Linked DNA regions of Notamacropus eugenii. The protein of the gene in region 2 interacts with the protein of the main gene of each other region in a biochemical or structural test. Links are inferred from orthologs where the notes say so. Each region holds a gene or a part of one and is shown on either strand. Other genes may lie near its edges. The genes, in order: IBTK, BTK and SH3BP5.

Region 1 (7,738 bases), on a different chromosome or scaffold from region 2:
CATCTTTGCTAGAGGCTGGTGTCTTCTTGCAGATAAAAAGATACAGAGATAAAAAGATAAAAACTCCTTTAACCATACAAAGACAGAAAAGGACTCATGACAAATCTTTTGAGGATGTTAATTTTGTGGGGCTAGACAGATATACCCAGGGGAATACCAGCATGAGAGAGAACTTTTCTATCAAACTAACTTTAGCTAAATTCTTGAGTTCAACTTCAAGATAGAAATGTGGCTTAAGTAATCACACAAAATAGGGCAGTAATACAGAAGAGTATCGATTACAGAGTGGAACCACATATAAAATGATACAGAATCAATTTAATTTCTCCAACTGTATTGGTATCTGTTTACATACTTATCTTTTTCCCAACCAGAAGCTAAATTCCCTAGGGTCTTAAGATCAGGAACTCTCATGGGGTTTTTCCCCCAACAGTCCCTAAGACTGTATATTATGCACAGCATAATATAGCAGGTGCTATATTTAGCAGGTGCTAAATAAATGACAAAGGATGACAAAAAAGTTCCATAAATCCAAAATGTTATGTAGGTTTGTACCTGAGGCAACATGGCATATGGGAAAGAGTGTTGGATTTATTCTATATGGACCTATACTCTGTGGCTTACTATATTCAGTGACCTCAAACAAGTCATTTAACCTCTTAGGGCCTCCATTTCCTCATGTGTAAAATGAAAGATTAATTTTAAAAATTATCTCTATGGTCTCTACAAGTTCTAAATCTGTTAGTTAACTTAGATAATCTCTAAGAAGCCTTTCAGTTCTAACATTCTATGCTTCTTAAGTGAAATGACATCATGAATGAAATACTTAAATGACTAGCCAGAACCAAAAACAATCTTTTTTACAGCACTAAAACTGTTATTCACATAAGGTTACAAAACTTATCCTTTATTATGTTAAAAAAAATTGTTCTGAGATTTTTCTCTCTTTACTATTTTGTCAAAAGTTTCATTGCATTGGACAGAGCAAATTTATTCCAATCCTCTACCATTACAATGTTATTACTGTTCAAGTATTTTAGACTCTGTGACCTCATTTGGGGTTTTCTCGGTAAAGACACTGATTTGCCATTTCCTTCTCCAGCTTACTTTACAGATGAAAAAAGTGAGGCAAACAGGTTAAGTGACTTGCCCATGATCACACACAGCTAGTGGCTACAGCTGGATTTTAACTCAGGTCTTCCAGACTGCAGGTCTGAGGCTCTATCCACTGTGCCACCTAGCTGCCCTACCAGCACAATGCCCACATTCTAATTTGGATAATTTTTCCCAAGTTACTTTTAGAGGGAACTTCATTGGATATGGCAACTAATTTCTTCCCTATAAACAGCTATAAAATTTGACATTTATTCAAATTATTTTCAAAACAATGCTGGCTTAGTTTCTAATTCTACCTGTTCTGTACCTAAAAGCTTCTTACTCTTTTCAAAATGTTTATTTCCACAACTTTATGCAAAGGAATATATACACAATGTAAGTAATTTCAACCAACACTTCTTCCAAACTGCTTGACGAAAGCGATAAGCTTCTCTGCTCCTCTATAGAATGTGGTATAAAGGCCAAAGCAAATTTTAGTTTCCAAGACGTTTACGATAAATTCAAAAAAAACTTCTCAACTAAAAAGAGACTAACTAAAACAAAAATTTTAAACATTTGGGGCTTCACTACCAACAACAAAAAGGCTTCTGAATTTGCACTCCACTCGACAGCAGGGTAGAAACACAGCACATGAATAAAGCAGCTGGGGGGGGGGGGGGCCCAAGATAGATGGGATTTGTAGTCCGGTGTAAAGGCGTACCCATTTTATTTTGCTGCCACTCAAATTTTTAAAAGCATTAATTTGTGAATTAAAAAAATGACACTTAAATCCTTCCTCAATCACTGCTCCGGGTAAAAAGAGAGAAAAGGTTTGTCCCGCTGCCGGAGTAGCAAGGAACTTTTAAAATGAGACTGGTTTGAAAATGAGTGTGAAGTTCCCCTTTCCGCATTTTATCCACCACACTCAAGCGCAAGGAGACTGTTTCCTCCAAGCGTGATCACTGCCAGAATAAAAACAAAAAACCCTAGCGCTCCACTCTCCGGCTTCGGAGTTGGAGCGCAGATGACACCCCAAGCACCAGCACTTTGGGAGAGCCACGTCACGTGACAGGCACGGTCCGCTTCGAGGGGGACGCTGGTCAGACAACAAGCGAGGGCGCAGGGATCAGGAGGAGGTGGCCCAATCCAAAGGTCGGCCTCAGACCGCAGCATCCGCGGGGGCAGGTGGTGCCACCACCACGTAACCCAGCTGACCATTCATCGGCAGAGGGCCTGGCGCAGGCCCCCCCCAGCCGGGTGCTTAGATAAACACCCTGGGATGGGGCCTAACGCTTCCCCCCCTACACACACACACGCACACACGCGCAGCTCGGCCTGGGGGGGCGGGGTGGGCTTCCCTACAGGGCTCAGGCTCTCCTCCCCGCCCCCTGGCCGCCCCTCACCAGTCGCTAGATAAAACAGCGCCGGCGGTCTCCACGGGGTCTGCGCTCGGCGGACTGGGCACTCATCCTCAGTGACAACAGCCGGGGAACGCGAGGAGCGCCAGCTAAGCCGGTTCCCAGTGCCCTGTCCGGAGGGTCCGGCGGTGGCCAACGGCGATGACCCTCAAACCTCAACGGGAGCCGACGAGGCGCTGCTGGACCGGAGGAGAGAGGGAGATGGTGTAAAGTGGGTGGGACCCACCCTGGAACAAGACGGGCGCCGATTGGCTGCGGCTCACAGATGCCTCTTGGGGATTGGCTGAGCGGCTGCCAGGGTTCCCCGGGCCGCGGCCGTTTCCTTTACCCCTCGCTTCCTCTGAAAGTCCACCTTGTGCCCCTCCCCCATAGGACTCCCTCTGCCTCTGACTGACCCTGACCCTGACACCGGCTCGGAGGGTGGGAGGGACTTAGGGGAGTGCCACGTAAGTTGGGGCCCAAGCGGCCCTAGAGGGACCGGCTCCTTCGGGACCGCGCGCCCCGTGGGGTTGTGCCCAGGACCAAGCCGCCCCGCCCTCTGACACAACCCCCGGGGTCGGCGGCTCCACTCCTCCGCTACTGGAGCCGCGGGTGTGGACGCTGACCCGAATCGGGCTCGGGAGGGGGAGGGGCGGGCGCCCACGTGGCGGGGGATGGGCCTCTTCCACCCTCCCGGGAGCTTTTGCGCCACCTGAGCCCCCGCTGCCCGACTGCGCACGGGTCACCCAGGGGCCACGGGCATCATCTTCCTGCCCTGTCACCGTGCCCGTCTCTGGGCACTGAAATGCCACCTGGCTAAGCCATGTGTCATTCCCCGGTTTGACCTGTCACGAGTGGTGACCGCCTCCTCGGAGGCGGGATTTGGACGGGCCCTTCCATGCCCAGTGTGCTGCCACGTTAGGACTTGCTGCTGTGCCGAACCCCAGAACCGGAGGAGACCCCCGAGGCCGTGTAGACCAACCCCGCCTCTTTTTGCGGATGAGGAAACGGAGTTCTTTAACACTTGTTTGCTAATGTAATCACTGCCCAAGCTGCCATGGAAAAGGTCAGAGGCAGAATCTGAACCAAAGCCGTCCAGCGCCAGCGCCCAGAGATAGGGCTTTGTCGTGCCAGCCCTTGCCATTCAAGGTTTGGTTTCCCCTCCGCTAGCATCTCACGTTGAGGGCTTGAGAAAGGAGGAAAAACGCCTAGGAACATCTAGAGATAATGGCTTCCATACATTTCTCACCTTTGTTTTCTTTGCTGCTTTTTTTCTAATTGGGACCATTCGATACCTGAACTAGGGTAGTGACTGTGTGAAGAGGAAGAAGGGGATGTGTATCTATGTCTAGCTACATACATATGTATGTTTATATATGAGAAATATGTTCACAAGTTAGGAAGAGATAGCATGCAAAATGAAAGATGTAGGGATCATAGTTTGATATTAAAAGAAAACTTCATTAATTGCCTGATACACACCTGAATCCCTGACTGTCTGATTACCTCCCTGTGCTTCCTTGGGGAAATCACTCTTTCTTTCTGGACTTTACTTGCCTCATCTGTAAAATGAGAGGTTTGGAACCACTTTATTCACCTTTTGCAATCTGACTTCTAACTTCATCACCCCAACGTTCAGCTGAAATTGCTTTCTCCAGAATCACCAGTGATCTCTTACTTGCCAAATCTAATGACCTTTTCTCAGTCGTTTTCATTTTTAAAATCTGCTACACTATTGATCACCCCCTGAGTACTCTTTCCTCTAGTTTGTTCTGGTTTGTTTTTTTTTAAAGTAACTTTGCTGTCTTTCCTGATTCAACTTCCTATATGACTTCTCTTCAATTTTCCACTAGACTGTTCTGGGCTCCCTTCTTGTCACTCTCCGTTCTGTACTCTCATTTGGTGATCTCATCAGCTCCCATACGTTAAATTATCATCTCTACGTAAATGATTCTGAGGTCTATATATCCAGCCCAAGTTTTTCTTCTGGTCCTAAATTTCCAGCTGCCTTTTGGACGTGTCAAACTGAAGTCCAAAACAGAAATCATTATCTTTCCCCTCCAAATTCTCATCTCTTTTAAACTTTCCTACTACTGCCAAAGGAACTAGGCTCGCAAACTTGAAGTCATCTTTATCTCCTCATTCACTCTTACTCCACATATCCAATCTGCTGTCAAGGTTTGTCATTTCTACCTTGATGACATTTCTTATATATGCCCCCTTCTTTCCATTCACACAGCCACCATCCTAGTTCATGCCTTCATCATCTCTAGCCTGGACTACTGCAGTACCTTCTAATTGGTCTGCAATAACTTTTGTCCTATTCCAATCTATCCTCAACTACCAAACTGATTTTTAAGTGTAGGTATGATTGTGTCATTCTCTACTCAGTCAGCTGCAGAGACTTTCTGCTACCCCCAGGATCAGATATAAAGTCCTCTGTTTGGTATTTAAAGAGGTGCTCCTGCCTCCCTAGTCCTCTTACCCTTTATTCCCCTCCACCTGCCCCACAGTCCAACCACATTGGCCTATTTGCTGCTTCTAGCACACATAACATATTCTGTCTTTTTGCTTTTATTCTCGTCGACTCCTGTGCCTGGAATTTACTCCCTTCTATTAGTTTCCCTGGCTACCTTCAAGACTTATCTCAAATTCAGTCTTCTGCAGGAGGCTTTTCAAAAACCATCATCTGCTAGTGCTTTCTCCTCTGAGATTGACTTCTATCTACTGTGTAATGTTGTTTATGTATCTAATTATTTTACATGCCTGCTCCATTTGAATGTGAGCTCCTTGAGGACAGAGAGAATTTTTACCTTTGTTTGTGTCCCCAGCATGCCACACAATGCCTGAAACGTAGTAAGTATATATAATAAATGTTTATTGGAAGGGAAGGGAATAGGCATTTATGAAGCACCTACTATGTGCCAAACACTGTGCTACACACTTTGGAAATATCTCATTTATTTGATCCTCACAACTCTGTGAGGTAAGTGTTCTTATTATCCCCATTTTACAGTTTTGAAACTGAGGCAGACAGTTGTGAAGTGACAAACTGAGGCAGATGGTTGTGAAGTGACTTGCTTAGTCACAGAGCTGGTAAGTAATTTGATTTGAATTCAGCTTGTTGGCTAAGTATCTCAGTGCCTACTATATACAGGTACCATATTAATTGCTTGCCCTCAGAAAGTGTCTGTTCTACTTATGACCTCTATAATCCAGTGTAGCCCTGAATCTATAATGTTATGATAAAAGCAGTAACTACTTTAAAGAAATTCTGCATACTAGTTGTCAATTAAGTGCATTACATTTCAATTCAATAAATATTTATTGAACTTCTAGAACGAGATTAGGTTTGAAGGAGAATACAGAAGTAGTAGGTGAACTAAATCTTCCCCCAGAGGAGTTTACAGTCTTTTAGAAGAGAGAAGATTTTATGCATTTGAGAAACAGCACAGTGTATAATTCACAATAATGCACAATAATAGCATAGTACTTAATTCAGGATAATCACAAGCTAAAAATGCATGATAAAAGCAATTAAGTGATCAAGAAGAAGAGAAGTATACATAATACATAGAACTATCAAGTTACATTTCAAAAGAAGTGGGATTTGAAATGGATCTTGACTCATTGAACTTCCATGAAGAATAGAAAGGAAGAGAGGATTCCAGGTGGGGGAAATAATTAAAAGCAAAAAAAGATGTATTGTTACAGAAACTATGTAAGCCAAATGATCTAGTCAGTGAGAATATAGCTATAAAAATGAGGCAGTTCTTTCCCTCGAGTTCCTTCTTGGGGGCAGGGGTACAATAAGGAGGTAGAGAGGGGAAAGAATAGCACGTATACAGATATGTGAATACAGAATATATAATTGTTACAATAAGCAACTACTTCTGGGCTTAAACAGCTGAGAAACTATACCCCTTCTCTGTACCCAACAGAATGGACCCTCTCAACCCTGAACAAAGGCATACAGTCCAATTGGGTTCTGTCATAGGGGAGCCTGGCATTACACCCTTAAGTTAATTAAATCCCAACCCAAGCACCATGGGATAAATTATTTAAGGCTTAGATTTTAGTTCAAATCTACATCTCCTCAAAAAGCTGAGAATTAAAAAGATTGTCAAAATATGTAATATGAACCAGGTTTGAGATAGGCATTTATTTTCTGCACACCCATGAAAAATGAAGTCACTAAAGACTGCGCATTGGCAAAACTACTTTGAAAAGGATTCGGTAACTTCATCTATACCTACAATCTCATGGGAGACTGACATTTAAGCCTCATTAGAACATAAAACAATCTGTGGCCCTAGTGAATGGCCATAGCCACATTTTGCCTTTTCTCTGTCCAAACAACTCCTAGTCATACTACTGCTAGTAGTCACCTCTGATGAAAAAATTCACTGCCACCAGTCAGCTAGACTGTCAGACCACTCAAAACCATGAGGTCATCTCCAAGTCTAGACATATCCAGATAGAGATTGTTGCTCAGTCACCTACTCAGAAAAGAAGACTTAAAATGGATAATAAAAAGGCAAGGAGCCCAGATACAAGCTTGGCCAGTGAGGTCCCACTATTCTAGCTAGTATGTAAAAAATTCCTTCTTGCTGGGGTATGAAAGGAACAAGCGAACCCCCACCCCAAACTGGAAATCTCAGAATTACATGATTCTACTTGGAGAAAAGGAAAAGAAAGAAGAAAAAGCCACAAGCTGATTCTCTTTAACTGAGCCAGTACTTTGTCCTTCTCCTACTATCATGAGAGTTTTCTGCTGCATCATGCCAAAGTCAAGCAATAAACATTTATTAAATACCTAGTATGTGTCAGACACTGTGCTCAGCTCTCAAGATAGAATTACAAATAAAAAAAAAGGCAATCCCTGTCTTCCAGAAGCTAACAGGCTGACAGGGGAAGACAGCACACAACAAGAAACTGGAAAAATGGGGAGGGCAGAGTGCAGAAGAAAAATCATACAGGATCATGATGAAGAAAGTCCACAAGTAGTGTATCTAGAGGAAATGAGGAGTGACTGTCTTTGGCCCTTAAGTGGAAGTTTTGGAGCTCATGAATTTTCCCTCAGATCAGAAGGACAGATGGTACTCATGAAATGTGAATATCAAAGTAGTTTTGATTTTTCAATATGATGAGATTTTCCAATGATGAGTTTATTGGGCTATGATGGCATCATAGAGAAGTTCATAAGAAGTTCACCTGGTAGGAAATGAGGAGAGGACTGTCCTTAG
Region 2 (7,288 bases):
TCCAGGAGGCAGGAGAGTCCTAGGGAGCCTGGTGTGTATGGTCACTTCTTCTTCCCCGACACCCCCACCACCCCTTGTTTCCAGCTTCCTTTTGGTCAAAGGAAAGTGGGAGGCCAGAAGAGTGAAGGAACATAGTAGGGACACAAAGCCCCTGGCACCATGTGGCCTGAGCCTAGCATTTCTCTTACTTCTTTTCCAGTCCTACCCCTAGGGAGGAACATTAGTTTTCCATTCCTCCTCTTCCATGGTCACACACTCCTTTTCCCACCCCTGTAAGTCCTGAAGACAGGGAGTGTGGTAGAGTGGATCACCTTCACGCCAGGAATACCTGCATCCTACCTGTGTGACCCTGCTCAAATCACTTTCCCTCTTAGTGACCAAGACACTCAGTCTCTTAGCCTGAGTGGTAGAGAAGGTGCTGACGTGATTGATGGAGGGAGTTTCTGCACTGGAAGTTCCCTGTACCAATGAAATCACAGGGCCAGCCCCTCTCCCCCTCCCCTATGAGTTCCAAAGGCAATTCAGAGAGTAACCACTTGTTCTTGCCCCAGTGGCCTGGGAGACAAGAATAAGGAGTCTGGAACAACCTTCTCTGCCCCGCAGGGCCCACAATCAGCTGCAGCCCTGCCAGGAGGAGGGCTAGAACTGACCAGAGACCTTCTGGTGGCCCTAAGAACAGGCGATGCCACACTGGAGGGGGCTGGCTCCTCTCTTACTGACAGACACCACCCCAACTTAAGGTCACATGTGTACCCATGTACATACATACCAAAATGCAGACAGTCACACAATGTATGTATGCACACATAGAAATACACAGAGACACATGTGCATACATGTACATAACACACTGAAATACACAAGCCACACACAATGCATGTACATACACACAGAAATATACACATAGCCACATGTGCATGCATGTACACACTGAAATACAGTCACAATGCATGAATGTACATACACAGCCACACAATGCATGTATATATGCAGCCACACAATGCATGTACATGCACACAGAAATACACACATAGCCATATGCACATACATGCACACATAAGAACACATACAACCACACACACATGTACATGTATGTAAAAATACAACCCCCACTCCCACCCCCCCACCTGGGTTTAGAGAGGGAAGGGATCTTGGCAGTCATCAAGTCCAGCTCTCTCAAATATACAGCACCAGGCTAGGAAGATGGCAGGCAGCGGTGGGTGAAGGAAATACAGGTCATGGACCAAAGAGACAGATGCCTACATAGGTAGGTCAAGTGCTTCTTGAGACCCTCACAGGTGAGGCCAAAGTGAGCCAGGTAGTGAGGGGCAGAGCCGACATTTGATCCCAGGCCTCAAACTTCAAATTCCCTGTCCCCTGCTAGACTAAGGCCCTGATTAGGGTCAGTAACAGTGATGAGCAGTGCTAGCTCAGCAATGCCCATCAGAGCCCAGGGGAGGAGAGAAGGAAGAGGGAACAGGAGAAAGAGAGAGAGCAAGAAAAAGAGGAAGAAAGAAAAGGAGAGCATGAGGAGAGGAGAGATGAGAAATGGGACTAAGTAACGACTATGCCAGTGACACAGGCTGCCTGTCCCTGACCTAAAGAATTAGATTTTTTAAAAAATCAAACATGAACATTAGGTTGGTTCTGACTCTGTATACTTATTCCTTATTTGAGACTGAAATGGAACCTAATGTTTGGCTTCATGAGACCCTCAGTAGGCATCCCACATCTTCCAAGTGCCTTTACTCAGCATCTTGTGCTCTCCTGATCATCCTAGGGTGGACCTTTCAGCTCATGCACAGAGGAATTCAAGACCTAGAATGCTAGAAAGAACATCAAGGTCCCCTAATGGAATCCTCTCATTTTACACAGAGGGAAAGTGAGATACAGAGGGATGAACTAACTTGTCCAAATATCTGGACCAGATAACTTCCCTGGAACCTTTCAGCTTGAAATCTGGGATTCCATGATGGTACACTTAGAGCTGGAAGTTAAGGCAGCTGCCTTGGGAAGTGGCGGGCTCTCCCTTTCTGGAGGCCATCAAACAAAGGTCCTGATCACATTAGCCAATTCTAGGAAATGTGTGTGTGTGTGGGGAATTCTGATATTCCCTACCTCTGTGGTCATACAGCTATGATTCAGGCCTCCACTTTTTGCCTCCAAATCACCCCACCATGCTGCTGCCTTCTAAGGCCCAGCTGAACATTTGCAAAGAGGTCTCCCCAGGCCAGAAGGGCCTCTGTAGTGCACTCTCCAGACTTGCAAAGGCTATGAAGAGGGGAAGCTTTGTTTTGTGACAGTGCTTGTGCTTCTCCGTTACCTGTGACTGATTCTGGGGCTCCACTCTACTCCTTCCTTCCACTTTCCTTAGTCCCTTAGGCCACAACATTGGCCTCTCTTGGTTATCTAGCGCTGTCAGAACTTGGTGCTTTGAGTCCCCCCCCACCCCCCATCATCCACCTCCTGTGGCCACCTCCGACACCAGCCATGTTTTCTCCCAGCCCTCCCATATGGCCCTGAGGGGGGAAGGTACTCACTGTCGATACTCAGTCATTGTTGACCACCACCATACACTGACCACCTACCTGAGTCCTGACTCAATGCTGGCGGTTTCCCAGATGCATTAAGCTGCCCAGATGTGGAAGGTGGGATTCGATCAGCACAGAGACTGGCTCTGGAGACATATTCTTACAGTCCTGAGAGGAAGGACAGTGTGAGCAAACCCCACCCTTTCACAGACACTCAGTTCCCCTTTTTTTGTTTCCTGACTTAAACCAATGTCTTTTTTTTCTTCTCCCTTCTCAGAGGCATGGTATCTTATTTCCCCTTCCATCAGCCTGGAACCCCCAATACTGCCACCATGAGTTGGGCTCAGAAAAAAGCCTCCACCTACTTTGGTGTCACTGAGGCTCAGGCCGTAGAGCCAGGCCACAAAGGTGGAAAACAACCTTGACTTCAGGGCTACAGGAACAGGCAGAACACAGGGAGCAAAACTAGAGAGGAAAGAGGAGTGTAGAAATGGGGGGCAAGGCAGGGAGAGGTAGACAGACAGGGCAAGCAGCCTGTGAGGAAGGCCACCCACGGCAGAGGGGCTTGGAGCTGAGACAACTGCACTTAAAGGGGATAGTTTCTCCAGAAAACGGCAGAGCTAGAGATAGGAAGACTTCCTCTGTTGAGTCATTTTCTAAGAAAGATTTTTTTTCTTCTGCAGATAAAGATGTCAGAACATGGGCCAAGAAGCAAACTTGTACCTTCTCTATTTTCCAGGAATGTTGATTTTTTTTTCCATTTAAGACCCTTATTAGGAGACTATGCCTTTAATTATTTAGGACTCTGTAATCCTGGAAAGCATGCCTCTTTGGGCCACTCAGAAGAAAACTGGCATATTGTTCCCAGCTGGCTCTGGGGCTGAGCCCCACTGCTGCCTCTAGCCCACCCTTCTCCTACTCAGTGTGAAAAGGAGTGTCTTCCTTTGGTCAGTCCAGGAGGCACATTTCTCCCACAATTCTCCCAGGAAATAAGTGTTGGCACGTGCTATCTTAGGAATTAGAGCATTGGGCACCAGATGGTGAAGGCATCCCACTGCAATGTTGCCATCCATCCTCCCCCCACTAGCATACCCTTAGTTGCCTGTCTTGGGTGCCTCATGCAGAAGCCCTTCCTAGGCTCCACTGCAAGTTATCAAGTTATTAAGATTATTTAAAATGTTTAAAAGTTTCATCGATGCCTTTATTTACATTGCGGTCACCTACAGCCCTCCCCCAAACTCCAACGTTGCTCCAAATCTCGAAACAGCTCTAAACAGAAGTCAGCCATATCTGACAACATATGTCTTGTTCTGCATCCATAACCACCCCTTCTCTGCAAAGAGGACAGAAGTCTGTTACACTGGGTTCCAAATCTGCCTTAGACACTTATCAGTCAGGTGACCCTTAGCAAGTCACTTTGGTTTCCTTAGCTCTGCCATGGGGATAATAATAGCACCTACCTTTCAGGACTGTTGTGAGGATCAAAGGAGGTAGGATACATTAAGTGTTTTGCCAACATTAGGCCTTGGGAGTCAAGATTGGTCATTGAAATGATCTGAGTTCTAACATCTATTGACTGAGTGACTGACTTGGTTCTGCCTCAGTTCATACAAGTCTTCCCAAGCTTCTATGAAACCTTCACATGCCTGTCAAGATTCTCAAAGCAACAAAGTTGTCTTAAATGGGTATGTATTTTTTCAAAACCTTTTTATTGGCCAAGTATTGGCCTGGTTAGTTCTCACATTTACTCAAAGCAGACAAATAAGTAAAAATAACTGACCTTTATATGGTGCTTTAAAGTTTGTAAAGAGTCAGTGTAGTTACAAGGGCTGTTATTATATTCATTTTACAGTTGAAGAAACTGGCCATGGAGCCAATAAGCACCAAAGGTTGTATTTTATCTCAGAGCTTTAGACATCTGCTCCACACTTGTGTCCCCCAAAACCCATGATGTTAAAAGGAGTAAGAACACTTATCGCACTAACAATGCATCTGATTAGATAAAGGTTTGGGAAGTTTCACTTTTGTTTCCTTCCAAGTCCTAAAGTAGTGGATTGGCTACCTTCCATGGTCTGTGTTTTCTGGACATGGGGTCAGAGACGGCATTATCTATTGTGTTGTTGGATTTCTCAGAACACATTTAACTTGCAGTGGCCACAACATGAAAGCAAGCCAAAGGGGATGTCTGGTTCCTGGGATATTCCATTGGATTAGTGGGTGCTAGCCTTCAGCTTTATGGGGAGACAGGGGAAAAAGGTAATGGGGACTTTCTCTTGGATGGGGATGATTTGCAGCTTACAGATGCTCCACAATTTCAGGATGACTTTGAACTGGAAGAATCAAATTTATTTACTCTTATAAAACCAATTCCATAAATTTTGGTAGCTAGCTAAAAGTTTGAGGAATAAAATGGAAGTGACCACCATCCTGGCTAATCCTATCCACCAGGTATTTTGGCAGTGCTATTAAGTGAAAAAGGTCTTGTGGTCTTCAGATCCTTCTGTACTAGACCAAGGAGGAGGAGTGGAGGGCTACTTCCCTTGAGCCCCATAGTCTGCAGTCTCAGAGAATACAGATATTAGGGCTGGGAGGGCCCTTGCTAATCATATAGTCCAACCTCTTCATTTTATAGATAGAGAAATGGAGGCCTGGTGAAGGTGATTTGTCCAAGGTCATGGAAGTAGTAAGGGGTCAAGTCAAGATTTGATCCCAGTGTCTCTGACTCCGTATATTTATTACCCAAAGGCCTCAGCTCTCATTTGGTTGGCTCAACATGGCATTTTGCACTTAAGAATAATTAATAAATAAATAATATCTTTTAATAGTCATTATCCCCCACCCTAGTGGAAAGAAAACTAGAATTGGTGTCATAGAGCCTACTTTCAAATCTCAGCTCTGCTACTGCCTATATCCTGGAACAAGTTTGTTTGATCTCCCTGGGTCTCAGATTCCTTTTCTGTAAAATGAGTTTTGACTAGATGACCTCTAAGACCCCCCTCCAACTCTGCATCTAGTCCCTAGGACCCTATGTATTTTGGTGCCTCAACATGTTATGGAGGAGACTCAGGCTTTGTCAACACAGCATCTACAAATGACACCAAGCTCTGACAAGCCCTACCAAGTTGGAAAGGCTTTGAGGATGGGACAGATGATGTACTGTGTATATTATAATAGTGATGATAATTTGCAGGAAGGGCAGCTAGGTGGGTCTGGAATCAGGAAGACCTGAGCTCAAGTCTGGCCTCAGATACTTCCTACCTGTGTGACCCTGGGTGAGTCATTTCACCCTGTCTGCCTCAGTTTCCTCACCTGTTAAATGAGCTGGAGAAGGAAATGGCAAACCACTCCAGGATCTTTGCCAAGAAAAGCCCACATGGGGTCAGGAAGGGTTGGACATGACTGAAAACAGGTGAACAGCAACAACAATTTGCAGGAAGGGGCAGAAAGACCCTTAAGCTGTGGTAAGGACACAGTTTTCTTTGGAGAAGAGTTCTGAGCCAGTAGTTTCTTCCACTGTAAAACCAGGAGTTTCTAGAATCCTTTCAAGTGGACTTGACATCAGAGGGCCTGGTTTTTACTAGCCCTGTGACTTTGGACAGGAGCTTTTCTTTCTGGGGGCCTTAGTTTACTCACTTGTCATAGGAGGGGATTGATCATGGTTTAGAGCTGCAAAGGAGCTTAGAGAAGTCATGCAAACACATCATTTCCTAAGGATCTTGTCTGATCTAAACGTTGTAAAAGCATCAGCCCAGCGAGTGGGGGAGGTGGGAGAAGGGGCGGGGCGAGGAAGAGGGGGCGGGGCGAGGACGAGGGGCGTGGCGGGGAAAAGAAATGACGAGGCCACGCCCACCAGGCAGTGTGCATCAGAGGCGGGCCTCCGTGCAGCCCCTCCCCCTGACGTCAAGGCATGCGCGTGTGCCACCTTTTCAGGAAAGCCGCAGTCTTTCGCAGTCATCCTTGGAAGTCAGTCGTTTTCTTCAGCTCGTCGTCATCCTCGGCCGAGCGCTCGCCTATGAGCGCTCGGCCGAGGGATCCCAGCGGCCTGGACATCCGAGAAGCCCAGTTGGAAGCGCATCACTGCCCTTCGGTGAGTCCTTAGCGCCCTCTGCCCTGCACGTTTCCGTTGCCCTTTTGTCTCCTCTCAGCCTTTGTCTCCCCGCCTGTCATGGCGTTCTGCGCAATGCAGAACCGCAATTTAGAACTCGGCCGCCAGAGGGCGCACGGCGCATTTCCCCCTCTTGGACTCGGAGGGCGTTTCCCATGAAGCCATGCGGCCCGCAGCCTCTTTCTACCCCCATTTCCGGCCACGTCGCTTTCTTTTCGGATGACGACGCTGCGGCGGCCATCGTGGGCGTCCGGGGAGGCGCGAGAATCGGGCATGGTCATAGCTCGTGCGGGTCGGCTTGGAGGGCCCTGCAGAGCTTGGCCCCCCCTGACGAGCCCGCTCTTCCGGGAGGCGCTCGAACTTGGGCTCGCAGGGCTTCAGCTGGAGGCGGGTGGGCGAGAACAAAGGAAACATGGCGGTCGGCGGGGGTGCGGTGGGGTGTGGCCGTGCCCGGTCTAACGCGCCCGGCAGCCGGACCCCAGCACCTGGGCCTTGGTGGGGGCGTGGGGGGGTGGAGACCGGAGGAGGAGGAGGGTGGGAATCGAAGGTTGGCGCTGCCTCCCAAGCTCTGGCCGCTAGGGGGCGCCCTCCTTGGAAGGCCTTGAAGTCTTGGATGCCGCTTACTCATTTAATATTTTTTTCCCAGGTGAAC
Region 3 (7,947 bases), on a different chromosome or scaffold from region 2:
TTTCCCTCCATCCTATCCTGCCCCCCATTTATTCTCTTCTCTCTTTTGACCCTATCCTTCCTCAAAATTGTTTACTTCTAATTACCTCCTCCTCCCATTTGCCCTCCATTGTATCACCCACTTTTCTCCCCTACTTTCCTGTAGTGTAAGATAGATTTTCATACCAAATTGAGTGTGCATATTATTCCCTCAAGTCAAATGTGATGAGAGTAAGATTCACTCTTTCCCTCTCACCTCTCCTCTCTTCCCCTCCATTGAAAAAGCTTTTTCTTGCCTCTTTTAAGTGAGAGATAATTTGCCCCATTCTATTTCTCTCTTTCTCTTCCCAATATATTCCTCTCTCACCCCTTAATTTAATGTTTTTAGATATTATCCCTACTTATTCAATTCACCCTGTGCCCTCTGTCTATATGTATTTAATCCCTCCAACTAACCTAATAATGAGAAAAGTCTCAAGAGTTACAAACATGATCTTTTAATAAGTCCCTTATGATTTCTCTTTCCTGTTTACCTTTTCATGCTTCTCTTTCTTCTTGTGTTTGAAAGTCAAATTTTCTATTCAGCTCTGGTCATTTCAACAAGAATGTTTGAAAGTCCTCTATTTTACTGAATGACCATTTGTTCCTCTGAAGTATTATACTCAGTTTTTCTGGGTAGGTGATTCTTGGTTTTAATCCTATCTCCTTTGACCTCTAGAATATCATATTCCAAGCCCTGTGATCCCTTAATGTAGAAGCTGCTAGATCTTGTGTTATCCTGATTATATTTCCATAATAATCAAATTGGTTTTTTTTTTCTGGTTGCTTGCAACATTTTCTCCTTGACCTGGGAGCTTTGGAATTTGGCTACAACATTCCTAGGAGTTTTCCTTTTGGGATCTCTTTCTGGAGGTGATTGGTGGATTCTTTCAATATTTATTTTACCCTCTGGTTCTAGAATATCAGGGCAGTTTTCCTTGACAATTTCTTGACAATATCTAGGCTCTTTTTTTGATCATGGCTTTCAGGTAGTCTAATAATTTTAAAATTTTCTCTCCTGGATCTATTTTCCAGGTCAGTTGTTTTTTCTAATGAGATTGTCTGCTATTTTTTCATTCCTTTGGCTTTGTTTTATAATTTCTTGATTTTTCATAAAGCCGTTAGCTTCTATCTGCTCCATTCTAATCTTTAAGGAATTATTTTCTTTAGTGAGCTTTCAAACCTCCTCTTCCATCTGGCTTTTTAGGCATTCTTCTCCTCATTGGCTTTTGGGATCTCTTTTGCCATTTGGGTTAGTCTATTTTTTAAAGTGTTATTTTCTTCAGTATTTTGGGGGGGTCTCCTTTAGCAAGCAGTTGACTCCTTTTTTCATGATTTTCTTGCATCACTCTCATTTCTCTTCCTGATTTTTCCTCTACTTCTCTTACTTGATTTTCAAAATCCTTTGTGAGTTCTTCCATGGTCTGAGACCAATTCATATATTTTTAGGAGGCTTTGGATGTAGGAGCCTTGACCTTGCTATCTTCTGTTTGTATGCTTTGGTCTTCCTTGTCACAAAAGTCAGATTCTATAGTCTGATTCTTTTTCTGCTTTTGCTCATTTTCCCAGCCATTTACTTGACTCGTGATCTCTTTGTCATAGTAGTTCTCTGATTCCAGTGGTGTTGGGGGTGTACTGTCAGCTGATTGATCCCCTCACAATTTGTGGACCTAGAGCTCCAGAAACAGTCTCTGTTGCTGCCCTTGCCCCTGCTCCTGCTGCCTTGGGCTCCTCCTCTGCAGGCTGCTCCACCCCCTCCACCACCCCGGGGCTGGGGTCAGACCACTCTACTCTCTCACACTGGTCTCACAGGTTTTTTCCACTGACCTTCCAATTTGTCCTCAGCATTTTGGGGTCATGAAGTCTGGAAATCGCCACAGGTGCCTGAGATTCAGTCCTTCCAAGGCTTGCTCAGGTCCCATCTGTGCTGGCATGGCCCACACTGTCCTGCGTTCTGCTCCCAGTGTGGCATGATAGACACTTCCTGGAGACCATCCAGGCTGTCTTGGGCTGGAAATTTGCTTCAGTCTGTCATTCTGTGGGTTCTGTAGCTCCATAATTTGTTTAGAGTAATTTTTTACATATATTTGGCTAGGTTTGGGGGGAAAGCACTAGCAAGTCCATGCTGTTACTCTGCCATCTTGGCTCCCAGTTTGTATTTTCTAGTAACAACTATATTATGCTTAAGATTGTGCCTGTGACTGAGGACTTGGCATCAAATGAATCAGAGAGATGGACAATTGTTTCACTAAAGTCCTTCTCCAGTGTTTCATCCAGGTAAAGAAGTGGTTCACTGATACTTCCAGAAACTATGCCCCAAGTCCCTAGGGGAGTGAATCTACTCAGCTTTTGGAGCTCCAGCCCTAGGCTGGGCTTCTGACCCTCAGCTGGGATTGGTGAGAGAATTCCCCTTGGTGACTACAGGCCCCAGAGCAGACCAGACTGCACATCCCATCCAGCCCTCTTGTATTGGTCTGGTCACTACGAGGTGTCCTGTACCTTTTTATCTCTTACTTTGGGTAGAGTAATCAAATCAATACCAACTCTCCTCCCATCTCCAGGCCATCTTCTTGTGCTGACTGTCCAACATTCATGAAATCCATTCTTTCCAACGTAAAGTCCCTCTCTTTTATGACGTTGCTCAGGTGCCATCTTCTGCATAAGGCCTTTCTTGATCTCCCCAACCACTAGTGGCCTCCCTCCCAAACTACTTTGTATTTAGTCTATTTGTCAACATGTATTTATAAATTTTATAATTATGTTTTATCTATTTTTAAATGTCCTTCTTGTCTCCCCAATGGAACATGAGTTCATGGTGAGTATCGATCATTCCATTGTTTGTACTTTTGTCCTTAGAGCCTGGCAAGGAGCCTGGCACGTGGTAGGCCTAAATAGATGTTTGTTGATTGATTAATTGCTTCTGGAAAGGTCAGATCAATGGATGGACCTATGGATCAACTTGGGACAGCTAGATGGCATAGTGGATAGAGTGCCCTGTTTGGAGTCAGGAAAATTCATCTTCACAAGTTCAAATCCAGACTATTTAAAGGGTGAGACTTCATAATTTGGAAATTGGCAAACTACAAGTTATGGCTTGATGTATTGATTTGCTGATTGTCTAGATTTGAGAAAGTGATGGAAAAAATGTTAATAATGCAGATAAAACTTTAAAATGTGTCTAACTACATTTCCTTCCCCACAGGAGAGCTGGGTGTTAAACATTTACCAGCACATCCCTGCTTTCACCCCTTTGTATCAGGAAATTGGTCTGGCCAATCTGAGATATTCACGAACAGTCTGACTGAAGTCTGGAAGGAGGATGATTGGAGAAGGTAAATGAAGGAGAACGGAGCACCATAGACTCATACTGGGGGGCTCCATTCCAGGTACCGATACAGAATGAGAAGGAAACTTTCAGACCTTTTAGTCCAAACCCCTCAGGAGGGTCAATTAGAAACAAGATTACAGATACCTAACTGGGCCAAGTCACTTCATTCTTCTGCACCTGGTTTTCTCAGCTATAAAAATGTATTCCATATAGAAAGGGAGATGCTTGAGGGCCAGGACTGTGGTTTTTTGTCTTGAGGGTAGGTGTGGAAAGACTAGCTATTAAGTCACAGAGGCTTCAGAGCCCTCCTGAATGCTTACTATTAGTGTGACTTTGGGCATGTGACTCAAGCATAACAGGCTGCATTTATATAAGGTTTGTAAAGCATTTCAATGTATTATCTCAACCTGGGTCTCAGTTTCCTTCTCTGAGGGCCCTTCCAAGTCTGGATGTAGGAGCCTATGGTTTGTATCCCCAGCACCTGGCATGGGTTGGACTGTATCAAGGACCATTTTAGTGGGGTATCTTTTGGTATCCTCTGGGCTTAGCACTGGGTGCCTGGTACATAGTAGGCATAAATATTAAGCATAAATATTTATTGATTCATATGCTGCTTTGCCCATCTGAAAAAGTCTATAGACCCCTTCTTAGAGTCACAGTTTTTAAGTAGTTGAAAGAAATGCTGGATTTCGGTTGGAGATTAGTGAAAATAAGATGGATACCCGCCCCGCCAAGTTCAGAGATACCTCCACCCAGCAGCCCTCATCTCTTGGACTGTTTGATCGATCCCTAAGGCTCCTTCCTGTTCTAACTCATGAGGCTCCAGTGGCAGGAGCAGGTTTAGAAACCAGGTGTCTCCTGCTGCCCCATTACCCAAGGTTAAATAGTGAGACAAACAGATTCTTCCCTCTCTAAAAAGGCATTTTAAAAGATACTTAGGTTGTATGTATGTATATACATATACACACATATAGTCATATATATATGTACACAATCTAGTTACATAAAAACTATATGTTTATAACGATATGCATAGTTATAGTTATACACAGTATATCACTACATAGTTATTCGTATACTATACCTAACATATTTATAACGATATAGTTACGTAGTATATGTAACTATCCTTATCAATATAGTTACATATGATTACATAACTTTTGTAACTACGGGGTATGTATAACTGTGTAGGTAGTTTTACGCGTCCCATATGTAGCCACGGATTTATAAGTATAAACATATAAGGAACTATCTGTCCAGTCACCTATCCTATAACCAAGAGACTCTGCCCCCAGCTAGGACCAGAGGCTTTGCCAATGGGCTCCTTGCTCGGCAGTGACTGCCGGCTGCACCGTCAATACAGAATTACAACCAAAGCTCAGTTCCAGCCCCTGCTCCCTCATTAGCCGCTGGGAGCTGCGTCCCTCGGGCGGGCCGGCTGGGCCGGGCCGGGGGGCCTCGAGGGTCCCGACAGCAGGGCAGGAGAGTGGGAGGGGGCAGGGCTGCCCAGGAGGAGGGAGGAGGCCGGGATGCTGCGCTGACAGCATCGGCAGAAGGGGCGGGCGCCCGCGTTTCCTCCTCCCCTTCCAGCGGCCGCGGCCCGGCCCGAGGGGAAGACGAGCCTCCCGGGGCAGGCTGGCCAGCCGGCGTTCCTGGACGCTGCCGGGGTCTCGGGTGTCCGCCGCGCTCAAGGGCCACACGGGCAGGCTCCGCACCGCTGCGCTCCGGAGGCGCTCAGAGCTCCCGAGGGCGCCCGGCCCGGGGCCGTGCTGCACCCCAACCTGCCCGCATGGACGCGGCGCCGAAGCGGGGCCGGCCGGAGGAGCGGCTGGCAGAGGTGAGCCCTTCACCGCCACCCACGGGGGACGAGGACGAGGACGAGATGGAGCCCGAGATGATGGAACAGGAGGAGGAGGAGGAGGTAGACCCCCGCATTCAGGTACGAGGTGGGGGGCGTCCGTGGGGGTTGCTGCACCCCCATTCTAGGCGGTCCGGGTTCGTACACCCCCATCCAGCCCGAGCTGACACCCCCACCCTGAACCACTCCCTCCCCCAGTGGGTGCGGTACGCCCGCGTGGACTGCAGGCAGGGGAGGGGGCTGCTTGATTTGGGCCGGAGCTGGGGTTTGGGGGGACGTGGCGGGGGTCCGGACACCCCTTCCTCGGCGAGGCCTCCCCACTTCGCCTACCGCACCCACGCGCGCTGCTCGTGGGCTCCCGCTGTTGGCAGCCCCCTCCGACAGCATCTGGGGATGGAGATGATAGCGGTTCACCGGGAGGTGGACAACAAAGGACAAATGGGGGGGGCTAGTGGGAGGCTCCCGGCCCCGCACTGGCTTGGCGGTGGGAGATTTAATTCCTCGCTCTGCCCCTTGGGTCAGTGCCTAGTTGTAGCGCTTCAGCTCTGGGTCTGGCCACGAAATTGCTTAACGTCCTGGCTCCTTCCTTTTCTCGTGCACCGAGAGGACTCGTCCCGTGACCAGGGTCTGCCCCCACCCTCATGGGCATCGTCGCGGTGGGAGCAGATGTCCCTCAGGGACCCATTCTGCCCAGGACCTCGGCTTTCCCTAGCCGAGTGTGCAGGTGCCCCGACCCCAGGTGGGGTGAGTCATCGGGGCATCCCCATAGGAAAGTCTTCCCTTTCCTCTAATTCATTGTTAGCCCGCGTGGTTTCATTGTCACTTCGGTGGGGTTCTCGCTGCAGAGCAGCCCCTTGGCCTGAGTCCTTACAGCAAACCCTGGGTTTTTTCCTTGTTGTTGGGGCTGTGGTCAGCGAATAGGTGGCTGGGACAGGAGGGATTTAGAGCCGCCCTGCCGAAATATGGGGCAAGGGGAGCTTTCTGGCTTCTGACTCCTAAAAACAAGTTTAAAAACCCAGTAAGGTCAGAATTCAGGCAGAGATCTGGCTTCGAGAACTCACCTTCCCTCTCCTAGAACCACCTAACTCATAAACACAATACAATAAATGATGTTTTCCAGGATCTTGCCTCTTCCTCCACCCCGAGGTCATTTTTTCTATTGCTTAAAAGCTCTTACGCAATTTTTTTGAGCCCTAATTGGTTTTTCAGTTCACTAATCAATTAAAAGATCATTTAACTCTATGGATGGGGTTTGAATGAATTGTTGGAACCGATTAGCAAGATAAAGGTCAGGTGGGAAATCGAGAATGAGGCTTTTGAATGAAAATAATTCAATTTCTCCTCCTTGAAACCAGGGCTTCCCACCTTCTTTGAGGCTCCGAGCAAGGTTCTTTGTTTCCGGAGTATCGATCACACAACTTTAACTCTCTCTTTTACAAACCCCAATTTTCAGTGCCAGGGACAGGGTCATAATAAAAGTTCTCCGGTGTAAGAACCGCTAAGGCCATCGGCTAGCTCGCACCGTTTTTGTTTTTAATCCATTCATTAACAAAGAAGAAAAAAGCCCTCAGCACCTTCTGAGCTATTGTCAGAAGTCAGGCCTTTGATTTACAGTTTTGGGAGCTGGGTAGATTCTTGACCTCGATTTATTTTTGGACTTGCAGGCTTCCTTTCTTACCATGTTAAAAAGATAGTCAATCAACCCTTAGCTCTCGGGCACTCACCCATGCCAGGGTAGCAGATTCTACTACTCTGAAGTCAGGTTCCTGGAATAAGTCTTTGCATTGTAAGCAAAGAGAAATAACCCTTGGTGGGATTACCAGAAAAAAAAGACTTAGTCTTAAAATCTTACACAAACACACACACACAAACACACTCATACACTCTTAAATGGTGGTTTCACCATCTCCTCTTCCCGCTTAACCAGGGACCCCTTTCATGGAAAGGTTTTTAAAACATGAGAAAGTTCATCCATGTTTCTGTTTCTAGTTAACATTCCAGCTAGAGCCTGAGCTATTTTCTTTGGGATCGCTGTCAGGATTAATAATTCTCCCTTAATCTTCTATTTTGTTCCCTTTGTGTCTGCTTCCAGGTAATACACTAGCTTTACTTTAAAAAAAACAAGCAAACAAAACTATAAATCTTTAAATCAGGCATTCTTAACCTTTGTTTGAGTCATGTTCATTTTGAGTCATGTTTAAGGTGTCAGGTGATGTCTTCCTTTCTTAGAAGAATGTTTGTATGTTATTGAAAGAAATGCTAAATTCTAGTTAGAAATTAGTGAAGATAGAGATTTCATATTCCCCCCCCCCCCATTCCAGATTTGCAGACCCCTCTGGTTAGGAGTCCCTGCTTTAAACTGTTTCCTTCTTTCCCCAGGGGGAACTGGAGAAACTAAACCAGTCCACGGATGACATCAACAGACGGGAAACTGAGCTGGAGGTATAGGTTTCTGTGTCCCCTTCCCCTCTTCTGTGAAAGGGTTTCCATGGGACTCTTATTTTGGCCTGTTGTTTGATTTTAGTGGTCGTGAGATGAGCCTTGGGGTTGCCTCCTTGGGAGCTTGGCCAGTAACTAACTGAAACAGTTGGGTTCAGACAGCTGAGCCTGGTTTCTCATTCCTGCTCTGCTTTTCACGACTGGAGCTGGCTCAGCCAGGCTCAGTCTCAAAGGTCTGCATTGCATCACCTAGACCTAAGTGTAGGCCTGATGGATCTGGGGAGAACAATCCAGGATCCTTG

What was found.
Region 1: the proteins of BTK (region 2) and IBTK form a complex in vitro, tested with the Homo sapiens proteins (2 studies listed by BioGRID). The link is inferred for Notamacropus eugenii from reciprocal best matches to the Homo sapiens genes BTK and IBTK.
Region 3: the proteins of BTK (region 2) and SH3BP5 form a complex in vitro, tested with the Homo sapiens proteins (2 studies listed by BioGRID, with this or other methods). The link is inferred for Notamacropus eugenii from reciprocal best matches to the Homo sapiens genes BTK and SH3BP5.

Annotation. Positions count from the first base shown.
Region 1 is NC_092873.1:154,841,924-154,849,661, forward strand, and holds the start of IBTK (inhibitor of Bruton tyrosine kinase), read right to left. Parts: upstream 3,008-7,738; 5' UTR 2,499-3,007; intron 1-2,498. UniProt on the Homo sapiens protein: Acts as an inhibitor of BTK tyrosine kinase activity, thereby playing a role in B-cell development. Down-regulates BTK kinase activity, leading to interference with BTK-mediated calcium mobilization and NF-kappa-B-driven transcription.
Region 2 is NC_092879.1:92,839,168-92,846,455, forward strand, and holds the start of BTK (tyrosine-protein kinase BTK), read right to left. Parts: upstream 3,048-7,288; 5' UTR 2,897-3,047; intron 2,700-2,896; 5' UTR 2,589-2,699; intron 1-2,588. Other genes in the region: RPL36A (large ribosomal subunit protein eL42), read left to right, coding at 6,439-6,618, 7,283-7,288. UniProt on the Homo sapiens protein: Non-receptor tyrosine kinase indispensable for B lymphocyte development, differentiation and signaling. Binding of antigen to the B-cell antigen receptor (BCR) triggers signaling that ultimately leads to B-cell activation.
Region 3 is NC_092874.1:38,576,295-38,584,241, forward strand, and holds the start of SH3BP5 (SH3 domain-binding protein 5), read left to right. Parts: upstream 1-4,898; 5' UTR 4,899-5,137; coding exon 5,138-5,287; intron 5,288-7,585; coding exon 7,586-7,648; intron 7,649-7,947. UniProt on the Homo sapiens protein: Functions as a guanine nucleotide exchange factor (GEF) with specificity for RAB11A and RAB25. Inhibits the auto- and transphosphorylation activity of BTK. Plays a negative regulatory role in BTK-related cytoplasmic signaling in B-cells.